Nothobranchius furzeri: one gene and its partner. Each later gene encodes a partner of the first gene's protein in a complex. Links are inferred from orthologs where the notes say so. Each region holds a gene or a part of one and is shown on either strand. Other genes may lie near its edges.

What was found.
Region 2: exosc9 (region 1) and exosc5 share a complex: the UniProt entries of both Homo sapiens proteins name them as parts of the RNA exosome core complex. The link is inferred for Nothobranchius furzeri from reciprocal best matches to the Homo sapiens genes EXOSC9 and EXOSC5.

The regions. Positions count from the first base shown.
Region 1 is NC_091746.1:81,904,222-81,915,192, reverse strand, and holds exosc9 (exosome complex component RRP45), read left to right. Parts: upstream 1-1,490; 5' UTR 1,491-1,589; coding exon 1,590-1,655; intron 1,656-1,920; coding exon 1,921-2,015; intron 2,016-4,510; coding exon 4,511-4,630; intron 4,631-4,754; coding exon 4,755-4,857; intron 4,858-5,516; coding exon 5,517-5,654; intron 5,655-5,736; coding exon 5,737-5,819; intron 5,820-5,894; coding exon 5,895-6,027; intron 6,028-8,763; coding exon 8,764-8,852; intron 8,853-8,938; coding exon 8,939-9,088; intron 9,089-9,178; coding exon 9,179-9,354; intron 9,355-9,432; coding exon 9,433-9,508; intron 9,509-9,592; coding exon 9,593-9,656; 3' UTR 9,657-9,755; downstream 9,756-10,971. UniProt on the Homo sapiens protein: Non-catalytic component of the RNA exosome complex which has 3'->5' exoribonuclease activity and participates in a multitude of cellular RNA processing and degradation events.
Region 2 is NC_091753.1:58,575,962-58,586,398, forward strand, and holds exosc5 (exosome complex component RRP46), read left to right. Parts: upstream 1-1,074; 5' UTR 1,075-1,134; coding exon 1,135-1,234; intron 1,235-1,834; exon of another isoform or gene 1,835-1,934; coding exon of another isoform or gene 1,935-1,953; intron 1,954-2,392; coding exon 2,393-2,506; intron 2,507-6,229; coding exon 6,230-6,351; intron 6,352-6,420; coding exon 6,421-6,561; intron 6,562-7,888; coding exon 7,889-7,978; intron 7,979-8,079; coding exon 8,080-8,175; 3' UTR 8,176-8,271; downstream 8,272-10,437. UniProt on the Homo sapiens protein: Non-catalytic component of the RNA exosome complex which has 3'->5' exoribonuclease activity and participates in a multitude of cellular RNA processing and degradation events.

The sequences.
Region 1 (10,971 bases):
CGGCTCCGCCAGAATAACGGTGCTGGCCTTTGAGCATGCGCACTCAGAACTAACGGAGAACGGTTAAGATGCGTTCATGAGCTTCACAAAATCAAGGAAATCAGAGAGACCAAATGCAAAAAGCATGACACGGCAAAAATATTAAATAATCTACTTAAAGAGCAAGTCAACCCCTACCAGATACCTACCTGAAACCCTTAAAAGCTCATTTACACAAAATAACAAAATGTTCATTTGGAAAACACCCAAACAACTAGATATAAAACAGACTAAAATGGCAGTTAATTTCCTTCAATTCGTTAATTTTTGATTGTAAATTGTATGAGGTTCCGAATGTGCAAAATGTGTCATAAAATTGATCGGTTTGTGCACCGTATTTCTTCAACGAACTTCATTGTTTGTGATTTATGCTATTTGAAACCTGGTTCGAGGAAAATAAAGCTTTTTCGTTGAATCCGAATAAAATCCCATTAACCGGCGATTTGGAGATCGGGGGGTTTCTGTGAAAGCATCACGTAGAAGCTCCTTTTCTTTTCGTCCCTTCAACTGTTTATATCATGCTTACACTCGAAGCGCAACACTTAATAGACTAAATGAAAGAAAATCCAAAATTGGTGTCATTTCTTTATGTGTTTAGCCAACAAACTGAACAAAATATTCATTTACAGCCACGTTTTGCCCCACTGTACTTACTTCTATCATTTAAACGAATATCAGTCTAGTTAAAATCGCATGTATGAATATACGGATAAAATAAACGACCAACACACACATTAGATTAGTCCACATCAGTTCACATGATTGGTTACAAACAAATTTAGATTTGGGTTCACATATCGCTCCTAAAGGGAAAGAAGTCCTATTTAAAATTTTGAATAACATTTACCCAACAAATAGACTCCTTGGGGATAGATTCAATATAGAAGCTGGTAATTGTGTATTTTGTGAAACAGAAGAGGAGGACTTAGACCATCAATTTTTTTTGTGCAACTTTATACAAATATTTTGGTTAGATTTTCATGCCTGGCTTTGTTCTAGTGGGATTCAAATTGCCCCATTTACCTTAAATATGACAATGTTTGGAGTGTTTTTGAAAAAAAGAAAGTTAATTATGGTGTTAATGTGTTATTAATTTTGTGCAAACAATTTATACATAAATGTCAATTTTTAAGACCAAACCAACACTAGCCTATTGGAAAAACGACTTAAAATTATTAATTAAATCGTTGAATTTAGTTAAAAAGAAAAAGGCAGATTTGTTTATTTCCTTTGTAGAAGATTTTGAGTTAGTAAGTTAATAATCTGTTAATTATGTGACCCCATCTTTAGATTTTCTTTTTTTCATATACGTGAAAATGTTTAATATGCATGTAATGATTATCGTTTGAATATATAATGTACGGTGCATTTTGTTTGTATGTTATCTTCTCTAAAAAAAAAAGAAAAAAAAAAGATTTGGGTTCATTTGCGACATACGGTAAAGCCGTATATTGTTTCGTCGCGCATGCGCGAATTGCGTAAATAGGTGGTTCCCGCATGTCAGTTGAGAATAATTTGATTTTCACCAGAAACAGCAAATAACAACAATCATGAAAGAAACGCCGCTTTCCAACTGCGAGCGAGACTTCTTACTGAGAGCAATCGAAGAGAAAAAGGTGCGTTTTAAAACGTTTATCATCAAAGTAGCTAAGAAAACAACCTCCACATCCAGAACGTTGAATGGAAAAACTGAAAAAAATCCGTGCTTCTATTCATGATTGTATCTTTAGAAGTGAGAATTCACACCAAAATTGTCACAGAAATGTTTAAGATAAAAACGTTGTAACCGAAATTAAGTCATTTAATTTTCCAAGTTCCAACTATTGTTTTTGAAGAAACTAGCTAAAGTTCTGTTTACTGTTTTTTGTTCGTGTCTTTTAGCGGCTCGATGGACGACAGACCTATGACTACAGAAAGTTGAAAATCACTTTTGGGACTGATTATGGATGCTGCTTTGTGGATCTGGGGCAAACCAGGTGATTCTGGGGTTTGGTAATGTGATGAAAGCTGCTGAATGATTCTAATACTGACTAACATGTTGTCTCTAAAATCAACACGAGGAACTGTTAGGGTCAAAAATCCTTGGGAGTGCAACCTTCATCAAAATAACAAGAACATCAGATTCCCTTTCATCCCTTGCAATGAGTGAAGAGATAAACATGTAAAAGAACAACGTTTATTAATGCTGAAAGTTTTGTAACTATTAGTTACAAATCAGTGAATGCATTCTGTCCTCACGGGCTTCCGTAAAAGGAAACATGGCATCCAATATTGTGTCACCCAGAGACTTAGACCCACTCCTATGCATTTTAAACCCAATTTTTATGGCTATACAGTGGGGCAAAAAAGTATTTAGTCAGCCACCGATTGTGCAAGTTCTCCCACTTAAAATGATGACAGAGGTCAGTAATTTACATCATAGGTACACTTCAACTGTGAGAGACAGAATGTGAAAAAAAATCCATGAATTCACATGGAAGGATTTTTAAAGAATTTATTTGTAAATCAGGGTGGAAAATAAGTATTTGGTCAATAACAAAAATTCAACTCAATACTTTGTAACATAACCTTTGTTGGCAATAACAGAGGTCAAACGATTACTATAGGTCTTTACCAGGTTTGCACACACAGTAGCTGGTATTTTGGCCCATTCCTCCATGCAGATCTTCTCGAGAGCAGTGATGTTTTGGGGCTGTCGCCGAGCAACACGGACTTTCCACTCCCTCCACAGATTTTCTATGGGGTTGAGGTCTGGAGACTGGCTAGGCCACTCCAGGACTTTCAAATGCTTCTTACGGAGCCACTCCTTTGTTGCCCGGGCGGTGTGTTTGTGATCATTGTCGTGTTGGAAGACCCAGCCACGTTTCATCTTCAAAGCTCTCACTGATGGAAGGAGGTTTTGGCTCAGAATCTCACGAAACATGGCCCCATTCATTCTGTCCTTAACACGGATCAGTCGTCCTGTCCCCTTAGCAGAAAAACAGCCCCAAGCATGATGTTCCCACCCCCATGCTTCACAGTAGGTATGGTGTTCTTGGGATGCAACTCAGTATTCTTCTTCCTCCAAACACGACGAGTTGAGTTTATACCAAAAAGTTCTACTTTGGTTTCATCTGACCACATGACATTCTCCCAATCCTCTGCTGTATCATCCATGTGCTCTCTGGCAAACTTCAGACAGGCCTGGACATGCACTGGCTTCAGCAGCGGAACACGTCTGGCACTGCAGGATTTGATTCCCTGACGTTGTAATGTGTTACTGATGGTGACCTTTGTTACTGTGGTCCCAGCCCTCTGCAGGTCATTCACCAGGTCCCCCCGTGTGGTTCTGGGATTCTTGCTCACCGTTCTCATGATCATTTTGACCCCACGGGATGAGATCTTGCGTGGAGCCCCAGATCGAGGGAGATTATCAGTGGTCTTGTATGTCTTCCATTTTCTGATAATTGCTCCCACAATTGATCTTTTCTCACCAAGCTGCTTGCCTATTGTAGATTCACTCTTCCCAGTCTGGTGCAGGTCTACAATTCTTTTCCTGGTGTCCTTCGAAAGCTCTTTGGTCTTGGCCATAGTGGAGTTTGGAGTCTGACTGTTTGAGGCTGTGGACAGGTGTCTTTTATACAGATAATGAGTTCAAACAGGTGCCATTAATACAGGTAATGAGTGGAGGACAGAAAAGCTTCTTAAAGAAGACGTTACAGGTCTGTGAGAGCCAGAGATTTTCCTTGTCTGAAGTGACCAAATACTTATTTTCCACCCTGATTTACAAATAAATTCTTTAAAAATCCTGCCATGTGAATTCATGGATTTTTTTTCCACATTCTGTCTCTCACAGTTGAAGTGCACCTATGATGTAAATTACTGACCTCTGTCATCATTTTAAGTGGGAGAACTTGCACAATCGGTGGCTGACTAAATACTTTTTTGCCCCACTGCATGTTATGAAACAACCACTATTTGTCAACAACTGGGCACTTTTTAATTCATTTACAACATTTCAATGGATATTTCCAGAGATTAATGGTAAAAACTACACATTGTCACTTTAATATAATCTAGAATCGACCCTTGTCTGTGACCTTTAGATGCTTTTAAGGGTTTGTCCCTCCAAGAGAAAAGAGTTAGCAGCATGGAAATGTCTCTGTCCGTCAGTCATCTCTCCTCCCGTTTCTCTTTGTTCCGTGCACCAGTACCACAACATGACACCACCTCTGCCGTGCACGACAGTTGCTTCAGAGTTCTTTAGTCTGAAATCCTCACAGTGATCCGGCGCACCCGTGTGGGAAGCAAAGGTTTCAGTTTGGAGCAAGAGCCCCGCTCACGTTGATGTTGAGACTTGGTGGTTTCTGGGTTGTCCCTGAACATTAAAAGCAGTTTCCTTTCTCCTGAGGGTGACGGATGAATCCAATAAGGGCAGATTTACACGACAAGCATGTCCACGAGGAGTAAACTGTTTCTGACCTCTTCTCAGGGTCATGGCTCAGGTGTCGTGTGAGTTGGTGGCGCCTAAAGAGAACCGGCCCACTGAGGGAATCCTGTTCTTCAACATCGAGCTGTCACCCATGGCCTCGCCATCGTTCGAGCAGGGCCGGTGAGGACGACTTGTGTGTTTGTTTTCATCCCCTCCTGTTTAACGACGCTGATTCATTACACGCTGTAATGTGGAGCCGGCCTGCTGGAGCAGAAAATCATCCGTGGGATTTGTGTCCCTGCAGACAGTCGGAGCTGTCGGTGAAGCTGAACAGACAGCTGGAGAGGTGCCTGAGGAACTCCAAGTGCATCGATACTGAGTCGCTGTGTGTGGTGTCTGGAGAGAAGGTGACAGAAAGCCAGGATACACAAACACACACCACCTCCTGGCAGATTACCAAGCTGTTTTTGAGCTTTTCCTCACGTCATTGTTCATGTTTAGTCATTCAGCAGACGCTTTAATCCTAAACAGGTTTTCACCTAAGATGCAAAAGTCCCCAGAGACTCTTCTGGCTCACTGCTGCAGAAATGACTCGACTTCAGTATAAAAGCATTAGAGGAAATCTGCAGTTATTAGGAAAACACTCATGTGTTATTTAATATTTATGACGTGTGTGTGTATATATATATATATAGAGAGAGAGAGAGAGAGAGAGAGAGAGAGAGAGAGAGAGAGAGAGAGAGAGAGAGAGAGAGAGAGAGAGAGAGAGAGAGAGAGAGAGAGAGAGAGAGAGAGAGAGAGAGAGAGAGAGAGAGAGAGAGAGAGAGAGAGAGAGAGAGAGAGAGAGAGAGAGAGAGAGAGAGAGAGAGAGAGAGAGAGAGAGAGAGAGAGAGAGAGAGAGAGAGAGAGAGAGAGAGAGAGAGAGAGAGAGAGAGAGAGAGAGAGAGAGAGAGAGAGAGAGAGAGAGAGAGAGAGAGAGATGCAAAATGTTCTTGCTGATGGAAGATGATGATGATGATGATGATGATGATGATAGTGGTGGTGGTGCTGCTGTCTCTGTGATCAGGTGTGGCAGGTCAGAGTGGATGTTCACACCCTGAACAACGATGGAAACCTGATGGATGCCGCCAGCGTAGCCGCCATCACGGCTCTGTGCCACTTCAGGCGTCCTGACGTAGCGATCCAGGGAGAAGAAGTGACGGTGGTGAGCCAGCAGGAAGCACAACTCCGCAGAGGAGCTACTTTAAACTCGGCTTTCTCTTACTCAGACATCTTAATCTCCTCAGTTCAGTCCAGAGGAGAGAGACCCGATCCCTCTGAGCGTCTACCACATGCCCATCAGTGTCAGCTTTGCCTTCTTTCAACAGGGGTAAAACAATGCAACGTTTACTGATCTAGAACAACAATACACAACAACAACACGAGCACATTCTTGTCCCTGTAGAACATTTCTGCTGGTGGACCCATGTGAGCGCGAGGAGCGAGTAATGGACGGCTTGTTGATGATCGCTATGAACAAACACAGAGAGATCTGCTCCATCCAGTCCAGCGGGGGCATCATGCTGCTCAAAGACCAGGTCAGCACATTCTAGAACCGGGATGTTCAAATTGTGGCCTGTGGGCCATTTGCAGCCTTCACAATGAATTTTTGTGGTCCCCAAATTGCATTTCTCAAATAATGACTTTAGTTTCTCTGGTTGGCTGTTCACGTAGATTGATTCTGTCTGACATTTTGTGTTCACAATTTTACTAAAATTCTTAATTTGACACTATTTGGAGGAGTACAAATAAAACTAAATCACCATAAAAATAACTTTTACATTTTTCAAACAGAAAAAAAAACAAATTTTTGTGAGCCACAAGGACCAACAATGTGATGATTTTGACCCTCGTTCTGAAAAGTTCTAGAATAACAGTTTTTCTATCATTTCGGCCCCTAGTTTCCTTAACTTCTCAGTTTAACGAGCACTGCCTCTCCATTCTGGACAACATCTGTCCTGTCAGAACCAGATCAGTTCCTGCAGTGAACCCTACTCCCTGGTTTAATGACAGCCTTCGCAGCCTAAAGCGCCAATGAAGAAAAATTGAGCACTTATGGAAGAAAACCCATCTCCACGTCCATCTGCTGCACCTAAAGGATCTTCTGACATCCTTTAACTCTGCAGTCAGAGATGCTACGGTTTCCTGTTTCTCCAACCTGGTGTCCCAGAGCAAAGGGAACCCCAAGGTGCTGTTTAACACCATCAGCAGCATCGTCTCTCCTGCCTCTCCTACAGCCTCCATCCACTCTGTTGCAGACTGTGAGAACTTTCTGTCTTTCTTTGTGGACAAAGTCAGTAAGGATAGATCTAGCATCTCTCCTTCAGCCTTATCACCGCCTCTCCCGACTCCAACCAGGCCCATCATCCTAGATAGCTTTGCTCCTGTTTCTTTGCCTGAGTTAACCAAACTAGTTAACTCTATGAAGACCTCTGCATGCCCCCTCGATCGGTCCCAGCATGCTCTCTATAACTAATGCTTCTCTGGTCTCTGGTCAGGTCCCTGCCTACTTTAAGAACGCTGTAATCCACCCGCTTCTTAAAACACCGAGTCTCGACCCCTCTCTCCATAGCAGCTTCAGACCCATCTCTAAACTTCCGTTCATCTCCAAGATCTTGGAAAAGGTTGTGGCTAAACAACTCACAGCTGCTCTTGATGAACAGAACATCTATGATAGCTTCCAGTCAGGTTTTCGTAGAGTTCATTCTACTGAAACCGCTCTTCTTAGGGTCTCTAATGACCTTCTGACTCACAGTGATGCAGGGTTCTGGTTCTGGTCCTGCTGGACCTGACTGCAGCCTTTGACACTGTTGACCATCACCTGCTACTGGAGAGGCTGAGAGACTGGGTAGGCCTATCAGGATCTGCTCTGGAGTGGTTCTCCTCTTATCTCTCTGAGGGCTCCTTTTCTGTGGCAGTCTCCAAGTTTAGGTCCTCCACCACCTCCCTTACCCATGGTGTCCCACAAGGTTCTGTGCTGGGGCCTCTGCTCTTCCTCCTCTGTCTGCTTCCTCTTCAGCACATCCTGAGCTCCTTCAAAGGAATCTCCTACCATCTTTACACAGATGACATCCAACTGTACATCTCCTTTAAGCCCCATGAGATGTCTAAGCTGCAGCTGTTACACACCTGCTTAGACTCTATCAAAACCTGGATGGTGGGAGCTTTCTTCAGCTGAATGAAGATAAGACTGAGATCCTCATCTGTGCCCCAGACAAGCTGGTTCCCAAAGTCAGAGACTCTCTTGGTCAGCTTGCTTCCCACACCAAACCCTCCGTCAGGAATCTTGGCGTGACCTTTGACCCAGCTCTCACCCTGGATTCTCATGTCAGTTCTCTTGTTGGCTCTTCCTTCTTCCATCTCAGGAACGTTGCTAAGCTGAGTCCCATTCTGTCCCGCTCTGAACTTGAGACGGTTCTCCACTCCTTCATCTCCTCACGCTTAGACTACTGTAACTCTCTTTTCACGTGTCTGAGCAGAACCTCCCTGAACCGTCTACAGGTGGTTCAGAACGCCTGTGCTCGGCTTCTGACCAAGTCCTCCAAACACACCCACATCACCCCGCTTCTCCTCCAGCTTCACTGGCTGCCAGTCAACTTCAGGGTTCATTTCAAGATCCTGGTTCTGGTCTATAGGGCCTTACATGGACAAGCACCATCTTACATTGGTGATCTTCTTAGTCCCTACACCCCCAGCAGGTCCCTGAGGTCCAGTGATCAAAGCCTACTGGTTGTGCAGCACCAGGCCAAAGACCAAAGGTGACAGATCATCTGCTGCTGTCGCCCCCAGACTCTGGACCTCTCTCACCCTGAGCCTGAGATCAGTGGACTCAGTGGTCTCCTTTAAAAAGCAGCTGAAGACTCACTTGTTCAAGCTGGCTTTTGTATGACCTTCTTCACCTCTCTCTCTTTATTCTGCTCTCCCCACCTATTCCACCTTCCTCAGGATCCACTGATTTCCCTCTTTCCTATTCACTCTCTCTTTCTTAACATTTTTTTGATCACAATTGTCTATTTTTTGCTCATTTTAAATATATTTTTAACCATTTTCTAAATTGTTTTTTATATTTTAACATTTTTGTTTTTGTGAAGCGCCTTGTGATTTTTATCTTGAGAGGTGCTATAGAAATGATATTTTCTTCTTCTTCTTCTTCTTGTGACTCCCACGTGTCAGTCTGAAGTATATTTAGAAGGAATTCTTTGAAAAAAGACTTTGTTTAATAATTTAATTCCTAGTTGAATCCATCAGCATGTTTTTGCTCTGTGTTGTTGTAGGTTATGAGATGCAGTAAAATAGCCAGCGTCAAAGTGTCTGAAATCACTGAACTCATCAGTCAAGCCTTGTTAAATGACAAGGCTGCCAGGTGAGTGGCTGTCTCCTATTTATTACTACATTACCCACAATTCCCTTTAGAGGCTACATTTGAATGATGTGTTTGAAACGTTCCAGGAAGGCAGGTGGTAAATGTGGCTTTGCCGAGTCCATGCCTCAGGATCGGATCACAGCTCTGAAAATGGACCAGACCGATGTAGAGATGACCAACGTGAGCCAAACAGGAAGTGGGGTGATCCTCCAGGGAGATGAAGCCCCGCCCCCAACGTATCCTGAACTGAAATGAAAGGACAAAAAAGGAACGGCATTTGTTTTTGTTTCTGACAGTTAGTCTCCCTAACCACACACCCATACCAGAGTCCCATCCCCAGTGGTGCCGGTGCCAGGTGTTGGTCAGGTGGGTCAGGGTCTGCAGAGCTGGGGACTGGAGGAGGAAGAAGAAGATGATGATGATGAGGAGGAGGAGAGCAGTGGAGATGACCAAGTGGAAGAAGTGACACAGATAAAACTGTCAGAAAAAGACAAGAAAGAAGGTTATTTGTTTTCATAACTAAAAGTCATGGAAGAAGAAAAAAAATTATAATTGAACTTTAATGTGTTTTGTCTTACAGCAGCTGTGGTGGAGATTTCAGACAGTGAGGAAGAGGAGGTGGTCATACTTTATCCAGAGACGACAGAGAAATCAAAGTAACATCTATTTGTTTGATATGAAGCCGAGGAGGTTGATAAATTAAACTAATCTCACCGGTTTCTGATTTTTTTCTTCTTCAGGAATTCTGGGTCCAGATCTGACCAGAAGGGGGCAGCAGCATCCAAGAAACGCCAGAAGAAATGACCGCAGCTTGAAACCGAAACAGAGAAAATACTACAATAATATGATATCGAAAAAGGCTTAAAACTGATTCAAATAAATTTATTTTTTACATTTCTAGAATCATTGTTGCGCGAATCAAAAGTTTGTCCATCATATGTCACTCATAAGAAACTTAAATAAGTCATGAGTCAGGTTCACGATAACACACGAGATTCACGCTTAGACAAAAATTCACCGTGTAGATGTGATGGTGGAGTGATAAAAAAAACAAACCAATTTACGTTAAAAATAATCAGGTTCCACCGAGATTTGAACTCGGATCGCTGGATTCAGAGTCCAGAGTGCTAACCATTACACCATGGAACCATACTGGCATCGTCGGGCGAACTCCTTCCTATTGAAAAGCAGCAGAGACATACTGTTAATTTGTTTCTGTTTAGGTTTGCAGACACAACAGATATCTTTCGTTAAATGAATGCCAGTAGCACATTGAATTGCCTCTGTGTATGAAATGTGCAATATAAATAAAGCTGCCTTGCCTAGTGAAATGCGTTGTGGAGTCCTCTGGCGTCACATAAGTGCAGATCATTTATGGTTAAAATAATGACGGATTTGGACAGAGTAAAAATAACTAAGTGGCCCGTACGGGGATCGAACCCGCGACCTTGGCGTTATTAGCACCACGCTCTAACCAACTGAGCTAACCGGCCGTGATGAGATCTGATGACAGGTTTTGTTAAATAGAAGGAATGTAGTCATCAGTTTTTTGAAGTAGTTTTTGCTTACCGTGGTTAGTTGAAACGCAACTGTGTGTGCTCAGCTTTTGACCAAATACTCAAAACACACCCACATCACCCCACTTCTCCTCCAGCTTCACTGGCTGCCAGTCAACTTCAGGGTTAATTTCAAGATCCTGGTTCTGGTTTTTAGGGATCTTCTCAGTCCTCACACCCCCAGCAGGTCCCTGAGGTCCATTGACCAACTGAGGTCCAAATACCACTGGTTGTTCAGCACACCAGGCTAAAGGTCAAAGGCTGGCCCCCAGAATCTGGAACTCTCTCCCCCTGAGCCTGAGATCAGTGGACTCAGAGCTCTCCTTTAAAAAGAAGCAGAACACTCACCTATTCAGGCTGGCTTTGGTGTGATCTTTGGTTGATTCTTCATCACTACCTTCTCCTCATTCAGCTCTTTCTACCAATTCTGCCTTAGCTAATTATGGCAGATGTAATGCATAACAGAAACAGAGAAGCTAAAAAGGTCTTTTTTTTTATTATATTTTTGACTGTAGTTTTCATGGTTTTTCTGTAACATAATGCTGTAATTTCCTTTGATTTGT
Region 2 (10,437 bases), on another chromosome or scaffold:
TATGTCTCAGACTTAGAAAGGCAGGCTACACACACACATCTATATAAATATATATATATATATATTTGTTTATATCTATATGTGTGTGTGTGTGTATGAATAAATATATATTTATTTATTTATATCTGTGTGTGTATAAATATATATAATTATACTTCTATGTAGTTAGTATTTAGGATTTATTATATTTAACACATGATACATATAAAGTAAGTGAAATTTATATACCACTCATCACAGACAAAATCACAAAGTGCTTCACACAGATCAAAACTAAGTAATAACATCACAATGATCTTTATCAGACTTACATTAAAAACAAAATAGTAAAGTCATAAAATATGAAACAAGTTAATCCTCTGCCTTTGTGGTTCTGCAGCGAGCTCCACTTGGGTGCTGTGGGTCCTCCAAAGCACCCAGTCAACTATGATAATACTAGATTATACAGCCTACTTAGGCCCAGAAGGTCTGAAACAGGTTTTCATAGCACAGCAAACATATTCTGTGAAACATTTATGCTTTCAAGTATGTATTTAAAATATTTAAACCAATTACCAAAAACAAAATAAATAAAAAATAGAAAAACGAAGAAGCATTTTTTGCTATTGAAAATTTTACCTAAATTGTAAACATAAAGCAACAAAAACGGGTGTCCACTTGCGGAGCACCTGTCAGTTTTCTCAGAAGATCAAAATTTGAAGGCAAATAGAAGTAAAATGAATAAAGTAGTTGCTTTAACAAAAAACTACAACTTGCTTCACAAAGACAGCATCAAGTTAAACACGAAACCAGTAATGACGAACACAGCTTCTGGTTATTCACGCAGCATTCTAAAATGGTGTTTACAAATGAAAGAATGGGGTTTTGTCGCCCCCTAGTGGTTAACTGACAACTCGATGGATAGCGCTTTCCGTTTTGTACTTTCAAAATAAATAATGACTAAATAAACGATCAGAAGCATATATAAAAAAGATTATTGTTGAAAAATGTTACTTATGATCATAAAAAATTAAAACGCAAGACACCTATGTAATACGTTTTTGTAAGAAGTGTCAAATCGATGTCTCCGGTTTAACTTTGAAAGAACCGATGACGTAATTCCCCTGCGACAAACATATTCTCGAAGAAGGCGGCATGATGGAGGTTTCTGCTTCTAATAATGTTTCTCTCAGAGAGTTCGGCTGTGAACAGAATCTGCTGTCCAGACCGGACGGCTCGGCGTCGTTCGTCCAGGGTAACAATCATCATTTATGTCCGTGATTTGGTCTTTTATTCAGACTCAAACAGGCTGCGCGAGTCGCAGAGGAGCGCTGTTCGCCGAAAAGCATCTTAAAAGCAGAAGAAAGGAAGTGAATGTGTAAATATGAGGTTTGGTGTCGCGTGTTTAAACGCGTTTCCCTCGACTTAAACCCGTGGCCTTTACACCTTTGGTTGAAGTTTTCCTTTTTATGTTTGAAAATTGTCACAAAGCTTCTTTTTTTACGTTGAAAATAAATCAACCAGTGTTGTTCAGGCGTTTCACAGATTGGTGTTTTGTTTACCTTCTAGGTGTTTCTTACTTCACTCAGTTCAGTTCAAAAATACTTTATTAATCCCAGAGGGAAACTGATTGCTGTAGTAGCTCAGAATAATAATAATAATCAAGTCATCAAAGAGGTGTTGTATATTACAACGGCTGTTGGCAGGAAGGATCTCCAGTAGCGGTCAGTGTTGCAGCCAAACTGAAGAAGCCTCTGACTGAAGACACTCTTCCGTTGTCGGACAGTCTTGTGAAGAGAATGCTCAGGGTTGTCCATCATTTTCTTGATTCTCTGGAGAATCCTTCTTTGCTTTATCTCCTCCAGCGGTTCCGAAAATGCCGAAACTCTGGCTGAGTCCTCGAAAGGGCTTGGAGTTCCTCCATCTTGTTGGCCAGTGATCTCACATCGCCCATTATGATCGATGGAAGAGATGGTTTGAATTTCCTCTTTCTCCGTCTCCGTCCCGCTCCCGCTCTGCACCCACGCTTCTTTTGTTTTAGCTCATTTGGGATTTGTGGCTTCAGTCGAGGTGTTATTTCAGCCTTTCCAATGTTAATCAGCTGCTCCCGATTGTAAACCAGCTTGTTGCCATGGTTACACATCATAACAAATGCTAAAAAAGTGAAAAAATTGCAGAAAAAATCCTCCAATCTTCACAGCACCAGAAACAGAAAAGTAAAATGTCAAAAAATACAGTTTTTCTTGAGAAACTAGAAGAAAAAATGTCCAAAAAAGGCAAAACTTCCATATAGTCAACAGAGCTACTCCAACATGCAGCCACCCAGAGCAGCGCAGTTCTGGAATGAAATGAATGCTTCTGTAAAATTAGAAATATACTAATAACCGTTTACCTTGTTTGTTTGTTTTCAAAGGGGATACGAGTGTGATGGCCGGCGTTTACGGGCCTGCTGAGGTCAAAGTCAGTAAAGAAATCTATGATCGGGCCACTCTGGAGGTGTTGCTTCAGCCTAAAGTGGGACCAGCAGGTAGTTTATTTTCCAGAATGGAAAACAAATGAATTATTGTCATTTTTGTTTTGTTTTCTTAAACCAAACACTTTTAAATATTAGATATGAGCCAAAATGTCAACAGGAACAGGTGTGTCACCAAACAAAAGGTGAACGCCGGGTTTCAGACACATTTTGGGCTGTTGCTGTTTGCAGAATCCTCACATCAAATACAACACCAAGTCATTTTATCAAAGCAGAAACGTGATGTACTCAGTCGTTTCCTTTTATGAGGGTTTTTACAAAAAAAAACTGGTGTCATCTCCTGTTTCATCTAAAACATAAACGTAATAAATCCCACTCCTAACAGGTACATTTTGCTCTACACTTGATGACCTTCGTGCACTTTTACCTTTAAAACTTTTGCAGCTATTGAATATTTTTGTAATCGAGTACTCTATCGAATCTTTTATCGATTAATCGAGTACTCTAATAAATTACCCTTTTGTGTTTATAAACTATTATTATTATTATAAACAAGATTTTCCCCTCGTGTGTGGATCTACCAGCCTGCAAGCCAGACAAAAACTAGGAGGATAACTGTTGAAGTAGCACAGCGAGCGGCTGCGGCCCAAACGGCACCAGAACCGCTCACGGCGCATGCACAAACATGGCTCGCCAGCTGTTTCCCTATGAACACACGTCCGTTTTAATTTCTACACTTTTTGTCTAACACTAACGAGGATTGTCGAGAAAGCATGTTTGCCGTGGTTTTGTCAAATTATACTGATCACAAAACATTTATTTACTTTCTTTTGTTTTCCTCATAAACACCCGTGTCCTCCTGCAGCGACCCCGAGGGACAACAGACGTCAATAACAACACAATAAAAAGTCTGACGTGTAAAAACTGCTATTTTTAGCACATTTTTAGATCCGACGTGTTGCTACCAGACGACAGTGTGAGCTGAAACTGAGCGCTACAAACGAAAAAGTCGCAAAGCGGACCTCCGAGTCCGCTTGCAGAAGTGACATTTACATATGGATGTTTCCTGGTCAGGTGCTGCAGCATGGAGGATGTGGTGTTGTGGTCGGCTACATCCATTTTACAGTATTTACTCTGGACTACGTTTCCCGCCTGACCACGTGAAAAATGCTCCCTCACCTTTGATATTTTGTGTCTTTTTCACACTCCACCGGGGTCCACGTCGTCCGCCATGGCTTAAGAGAAAGTTAGGTTACATTCGCTACTCGCGTGTGCGTTCAGTGCTGTGTGTATGTGCGTCACTTATTTCAGTCCGGGTGAAACGTGACCACGGGCGATTGCTAAGCCATGAATTAATTAAACATGAATTAAATGAAGTCTCGAGGCAGAGAGTTTGAGAATTGTACACGAATTATTCGAGGTACTCGAGGAATCGTTTCAGACCTAATCATGTGTGAAATCCATGGCACATAACAAGCAGAATTAGAAAATAGTGTCTTTAGCCCCGCTGACTTGCATTCATTGTTTTGTTCTTCTGGGGACCCGTGGTCCGGAAGTAGATGGGCGTGGCTTAGACTCCCTATGGAGCGCTGTCTGTCACCTATGATAGACTGTCACTATGGTAAAGCTATGGAATCTTGCGTTACCATAGTTACAGCTCAGGTGCATCATTTAAAATGCTTCATTATTAAGGCCAGAACTAGAGCTGCGGCTATCAAATATTTTTGTAATCGAGTACTCTAATAAATGACCCTTTTGTGTTTGTAAACCATTATATCAAATAGCATGTTATAAAATATGAAAGAGCTCCTAAAATTAGCACGCAATTGCCAGTTATTCTTCAAGTTTTATTCAAAATTAGTTTTCAAAACTTCAACTTTACTTCACAGTAAACAAACGCCTGTGCAAAAAATAAGTAAACAACCTGAGCCGGTTTTCTCCTCGTGTGGATCTACCAGCCTGCAAGCCAGACAAAAACTAGGAGGATAACTGTTGAAGTAGCACAGCGAGCGGCTGCGGCCCAAACAGAACCAGAACCGCTCACGGCGCATGCGCAAACATCTCGCCAGCTGTTTCCCTATGAACACACGTCCGTTTTAATTTCTGCACTTTTTGTCTAACACTAACGAGGATTGTCGAGAAAGCATGTTTGCCGTGGTTTTGTCAAATTATACTGATCACAAAACATTTATTTACTTTCTTTCGTTTTCCTCATAAACACCCGTGTCCTCCTGCAGCGACCCCGAGGGACAACAGAAGTCAATAACAACACAATGAAAAGTCTGACGTGTAAAAACTGCTATTTTTAGCACATTTTTAGATCCGACGTGTTGCTACCAGACGACAGTGTGAGCTGAAACTGAGCGCTACAAACGAAAAAGTCGCAAAGTGGACCTCCGAGACCGCTTGCAGAAGTGACATTTACATATGGATGTTTCCTGGTCAGGTGCTGCAGCATGGAGGATGTGGTGTTGTGGTGGGCTACATCCATTTTACAGTATTTACTCTGGACTACGTTTCCCGCCTGACCACGTGAAAAATGCTCCCTCACCTTTGATATTTTGTGTCTTTTTCACACTCCACCGGGGTCCACGTCGTCCGCCATGGCTTAAGAGAAAGTTAGGTTACATTCGCTTCTCGCGTGTGCGTTCAGTGCTGTGTGTATGTGCGTCACTTATTTCAGTCCGGGTGAAACGTGACCACGGGCGATTGCTAAGCCATGAATTAATTAAACATGAATTAAACGAAGCCTCGAGGCAGAGAGTTTGAGAATTGTACACGAATTTTTCGAGGTACTCGAGGAATCGTTTCAGACCTAGATGTAAGGAGAGTTGCCTAAAACATTTAGCACTTTTATAGCATTTTCCTCCTACCAGCTAACGGTAGAGTTTCTGCCCTGGGACTGGGCGATCAGGGGTCAAATCCACGGTCGGGTCGTACCAAAGACTTTAAAAATGTGACCCGATGCCTCCCTGCTTAACACTCAGCATTAAGAGGTTGTTTCGTGTGATTAAAGAGCAAGTCACCCCCTACCAGAGTCTTACTCCACTCCCACTTCCTGTTTGAACAATGCAACAAATGCTGTTGCCTAGCAGACCGAGAGGGTGGAGCCACTAACAAATACACACACACACAGGCTCACAACGACATTGTGACATCATATGGTACCAGCTAACGTTCTAGGGTACCTCTTAGCCAATAGCGATGGCAGATTTAAATTCAAATGCAGTGCAGAGTTTTTACCTGACAACGGCGCAACACTGACAGTTTTAGGCAGAAAATTAAAATTTTAACTAAAATGCACTAAAGTGCAAAACTATTGACAACACGTGTCTGCAGCACGATTAGACACGCATTTCTATAGTTTATCAGGAAAAAAAGCTGATTTGGGGGTGACTTGCTCTTTTAAACGACCAAATAGTTGCCGGGCGCAGACGTGTGTGCAGCTCACTGCTCCCTCAGGGATGGGTCGAATGCAGAGAACGAATTTCACCAGAGTGGTGATGATGATGATGATGATGGGGCTTTAATCTTTATAACAAAGCCCCAGAAGAGTTTCTAAAACATATTTAGTTGAGCGTCTTTAACACACACAAGTACAAAAACCTCTGCTGTTTAAAGTATTTAATCTCTTCTCAGTAACGTAATTATAACCCTAACGCCATAGCAACTTTACATCATGAAACGTGTTTTACCGTGGCACACCACAAGGGGGAGGCAGTGAGCTGCTTGTCTCTCTTCTTATCTCTGCTGATTCTCCCGTTTTGAATTTTCTAGGTGTGAGGGAGCAGTCACAGGAGCAGTGTGTGAGAGAAACGTGTGAGGCAGCTCTTCTCTTGTCTCTTCATCCTCGCTCCTCGCTGACCCTCATCCTTCAGGTGCTGCATGACGACGGCTCGGTATCCTTTACTAAAACTCCCCGGAGCCACTGGGGCGGAGCCTTTCTTCTTCCTTGACCTGCTCCTCAGCTCCTGTCCTGCTGCCTGAATGCGGCCTGCATGGCTCTGATGGATGCAGGCTTGTCCATGAGCTGTCTTTTCTGTGGAGTGACGTGCGCCATCGGTGCGGACGGTGACATCATCGCAGATCCCACAGCAGCTCAGGAGAAAGTAAATCTGAAAGGAATTTGAAGCAAATACTGAGACTCCTTTAGTTCTTTTCAGGTTTTAATTGATGCGAAGCTCTGATGAAGACGAGCCTGTAGAAAAACAGCTCCCAGGAATTCGGCACAGACGACCCCGGTGCAGTCGACATCATTTCAGCAGACCACACATCCATCCGTGGTTAAAAACCTGTGGGTGCTGACCTTTACTTACTTCACCTGCAGAGTTTCTCTCTGGGCCACGACTACATTTCCCAGGGAGTTTCCAAAATATCTCAAAATGTTTGCGAGAGGTTCTTAGCTTCCTCCTGAGTCGCAGGGCTTCGCACCTGGGTCTCTGGGTCTTTGTGGGTGTCCTGGAAGGATTCTGTTTAGTTTCTGTTTGAAATGTGAGACAACTTTGGGAGGAACCTGAGAAAAGACCTGAGAAGGCACGTTGTGACCGACTGGAGACCGAAAAGAGAGCATCCAAGCAACAATAACGAGGATAAATCACAAACAAGTTAAAGAGCAAGTCACCCCCTACCATACAAAACATACACACACACAGGCTCACAACGACATTGTGACATCATATGGTACCAGCTAACGTTCCAGGGTACCTCTTAGCCAATAGCGACGGCAGATTTAAATTCAACTGCAGTGCAGAGTTTTTACCTGACAACGGCACAACACTGACAGTTTTAGACAGAATATTTCAATTTTTACTAAAATGCATAAAAGTGCAAAACTGTTGATGACACGTGTCTGCAGCACGATTAGACACGCGTTTATATAGTTTATCAGAAAAACAAGCTGATTTGGGGGTGACTTGCTCTTTAAAGAGCAAGTCACCCCAAATAACCTTTTTTTTTGCTGATAAACTAAAGAAACGAGTGTCTAATCGTGCTGCAGACACGTGCCGTCAATAATTTGTCACTTCAGTGCATCTTAGTTAAAATTTAAATATTCTGCCTAAAACTGGCAGTGTTGTGCCGTTGTCAGGTAAAAACTCTGCATTGTATTCTAATTTAAATCTTCCACCACTATTGGCTAAGAGGTATGCTATGATGTAAACTGGTAGATTATGATGTCACAATGTCTGTGTGTGTGTATTTGTTAGCAGCTCCGCCCCCTTGGTCTGCCAGGCAACAGCATTTGTTGCATTTTTCAAACATGAAGTGGGAGTGGAGTTAGATTCTGGTAGGGGTTGACTTGCTCTTTAAGATATTTTAGGAAATACACAAAGTGTTTAGTGTGACTCAAACAGCTCATTTGGTAGTTCTGGGCCTCCAGCTGGTTGCTAATGGTAACAGCGCAGGCTAATGCTGACCTTTTGTTTTTTCTTCCGTAAGGAAAGTCGAGCGTTGATGACTTTCGCCATCGACAGCACAGAACGAAGAGTGATGATGTCATCGACCAAAGGTTCATTTTCGGTCCAGGAGGTGAGCGATGAAGCGGGCTGTGTGTGTTTGTGTTTCTAATTCCTTTACGGCTTCCTGTTCGTTCCTCTGACTCCGTCGTTTGTCTTTCCGTTCGTCCACAGCTGCAGGAATGTGTAGCCGTCAGCCAGAAAGCATCGGAGAAGGTCTTCCAGTTCTACAGAGACTCCGTGAGACGGCGCTACTCCAAAAACCTCTGATTCCCCCCCCCCCTTCCAAGTCTTCTTTTAATAGAAAGCATAAATATTCAGTTTTTATTAATTATTTTCAAATAAAAAGAGAGGAAAATCTTTTCATTTAAGTGCATTCATTAGGATTTATTGATTTAATTCAAATATTCACACTTGAGAGTGACCGAACCTCCGTCTGACTGACTCGATGGAAACGCCTTCGGGTTAGGGTGGATGGAAACCAGAGCGACAGGAATCTTTTATTTGTCCCACGACGCAACAAGGTTTGTTTCTGTAGGATGTTGAAGACGTGCAGGCACAGTGGAGCTGAATCATCTGACGAGAACAAGATGTCCTCCGCCTTCGTATGACAAAGCCAGTTATTTGTAGTCGGCTATGAAAACAGAACTGGGTTCTCTTTTCTGGACCGGGGGTCTCGTTGATCAAACGTTGCGTAGCATCCTTACTAAAACGTTCCATCTTTCCGTTCTTTTAAAAACAGAAAGGTTTTATTTACCTGCAGCGTTTCGTTTGCGGCTGCAAACTTTGTCAGAGCTGACGCCGATGGTGGCGTCACTTCCTACGTCGTTTATCCGCGGGCAGCAGAGGACGTTGTCGCCCTCTGCTGCCCGCTCTCCCCTCTGCGACGATGCAGTCCCAACGAGTAAACCCCATCGTCCCTGTTCATGGTCCCGCATCCACGTCTCCTTACCTCGATCGCTTCTTTTATCCATCTTTTGTGTTTCTGCTGTTTTGCCTTGTTGTTCTGCTCGTCTGAAGTTCAGCCTTGAGTTTTACGCATTTATGAAGGTTGTTCTCGTTCCACAGAAGCCACCAGGTTCGCTTTTCAAATATCTCTTCAGAAGGAAAATGACTCGTTTGAACATCTTATTTTGGCACTTTAGATCTGCAGCTAAAAACCACCTAAATGTTCTCAAAAGTAACATTTTTATTTAGAAATATTGCTGAATTATTTTAGATATTATGGCACTTTCTTCTGACAGGAGGCAAGAAAACACGTGAGAGGCAGTCCTCTCTGCAGGTAGACATGAGCTGATGCTGGCTGTGAGACGAGAGGAAACTTACGGAAGAGTTCTGGGATCTCTGGAGGAGATTTGGAAACTGCAGGAGTTCAGGGATTTATTTGGGATCTCTGCAGAATTTCTGGGAACTCTGTAAAAATTCAGAGATTTCTGGATGATTTCTGAGAGCACTGCAGGGGTTCTGGGATCTCTGGAGGATTCCTGGGAACTCTGCAGGGGTTCTGGGATCTCTGGAGGATTCTTGGGAACTCTGCAGGGGTTCTGGGATCTCTGGAGGATTCCTGGGAACTGCAGGGGTTCTGGGATCTCTGGAGGATTCCTGGGAACTCTGCAGGGGTTCTGGGATCTCTTGAGTATTCCTGGGAACTCTTCAGGAGCTCTGGGATCTTTGCAGGATTTCTGGGCTCTCTCAAAGATTTCTAGGATTTCTACAGAAGATCTGGAATCTGCAGGATTTCTGGGATCTCTGGAGGAGTTCTAGGATCTCTAGAGAATTTCTGGGACATCTGAAGGAGTTCTGGGATCTCTGGAGGATTCCTGGGAACTCTTCAGGAGCTCTGGGATCTTTGCAGGATTTCTGGCCTCTTTCAAAGATTTCTAGGATTTCTACAGAAGATCTGGAATCTTTGCAGGATTTCTGGGATCTCTGGAGGAGTTCTAGGATCTCTAGAGAATTTCTGGGACATCTGAAGGAGTTCTGGGATCTCTGGAGAAATCCTGGGAACTGCAGGGGTTCTTGAATCTCTGGAAGGTTTTTGGGATCACTGCAGGATTTTTGGGATCTATGAGTTTTCTGGGATTTTTGCAGGAAATCTGGGATCTATGGAGGACCTCATCTCCACCATATTGTTTAGGTCTCTGCTTCCGGCAGGATGGAGAAAACTAACACATTTTCTGTTTTCCTTATAAAGAACGGCTGCTGCAGCTCAGAGTGAAGCGACTGGAAGCTTCTGTCTTCCTCTCAGCTGACCATGAACAATGGAGTCTGACTGGGAATATTTTACAGATGTTTTATGTGCGGATGATCCCGTTTGTGTGGGAGGAGCTGGACTTATGGAGGTTTTGCAGACAGGTATGAGATCAAGGCGGCAATGGCGCAGATGTAGGTGATGATTCCGAACATGATGGAGAGCACAGAGAGCCACAGAGCCTGGCGAGAGGCTGCGTTGGCCCCCTGAAAATCTCCCTGAGCCGAAGCCTTGTTAGTCTGGAAAACAGAAGACAGATCAGGATTAGTGATTTTAAAATC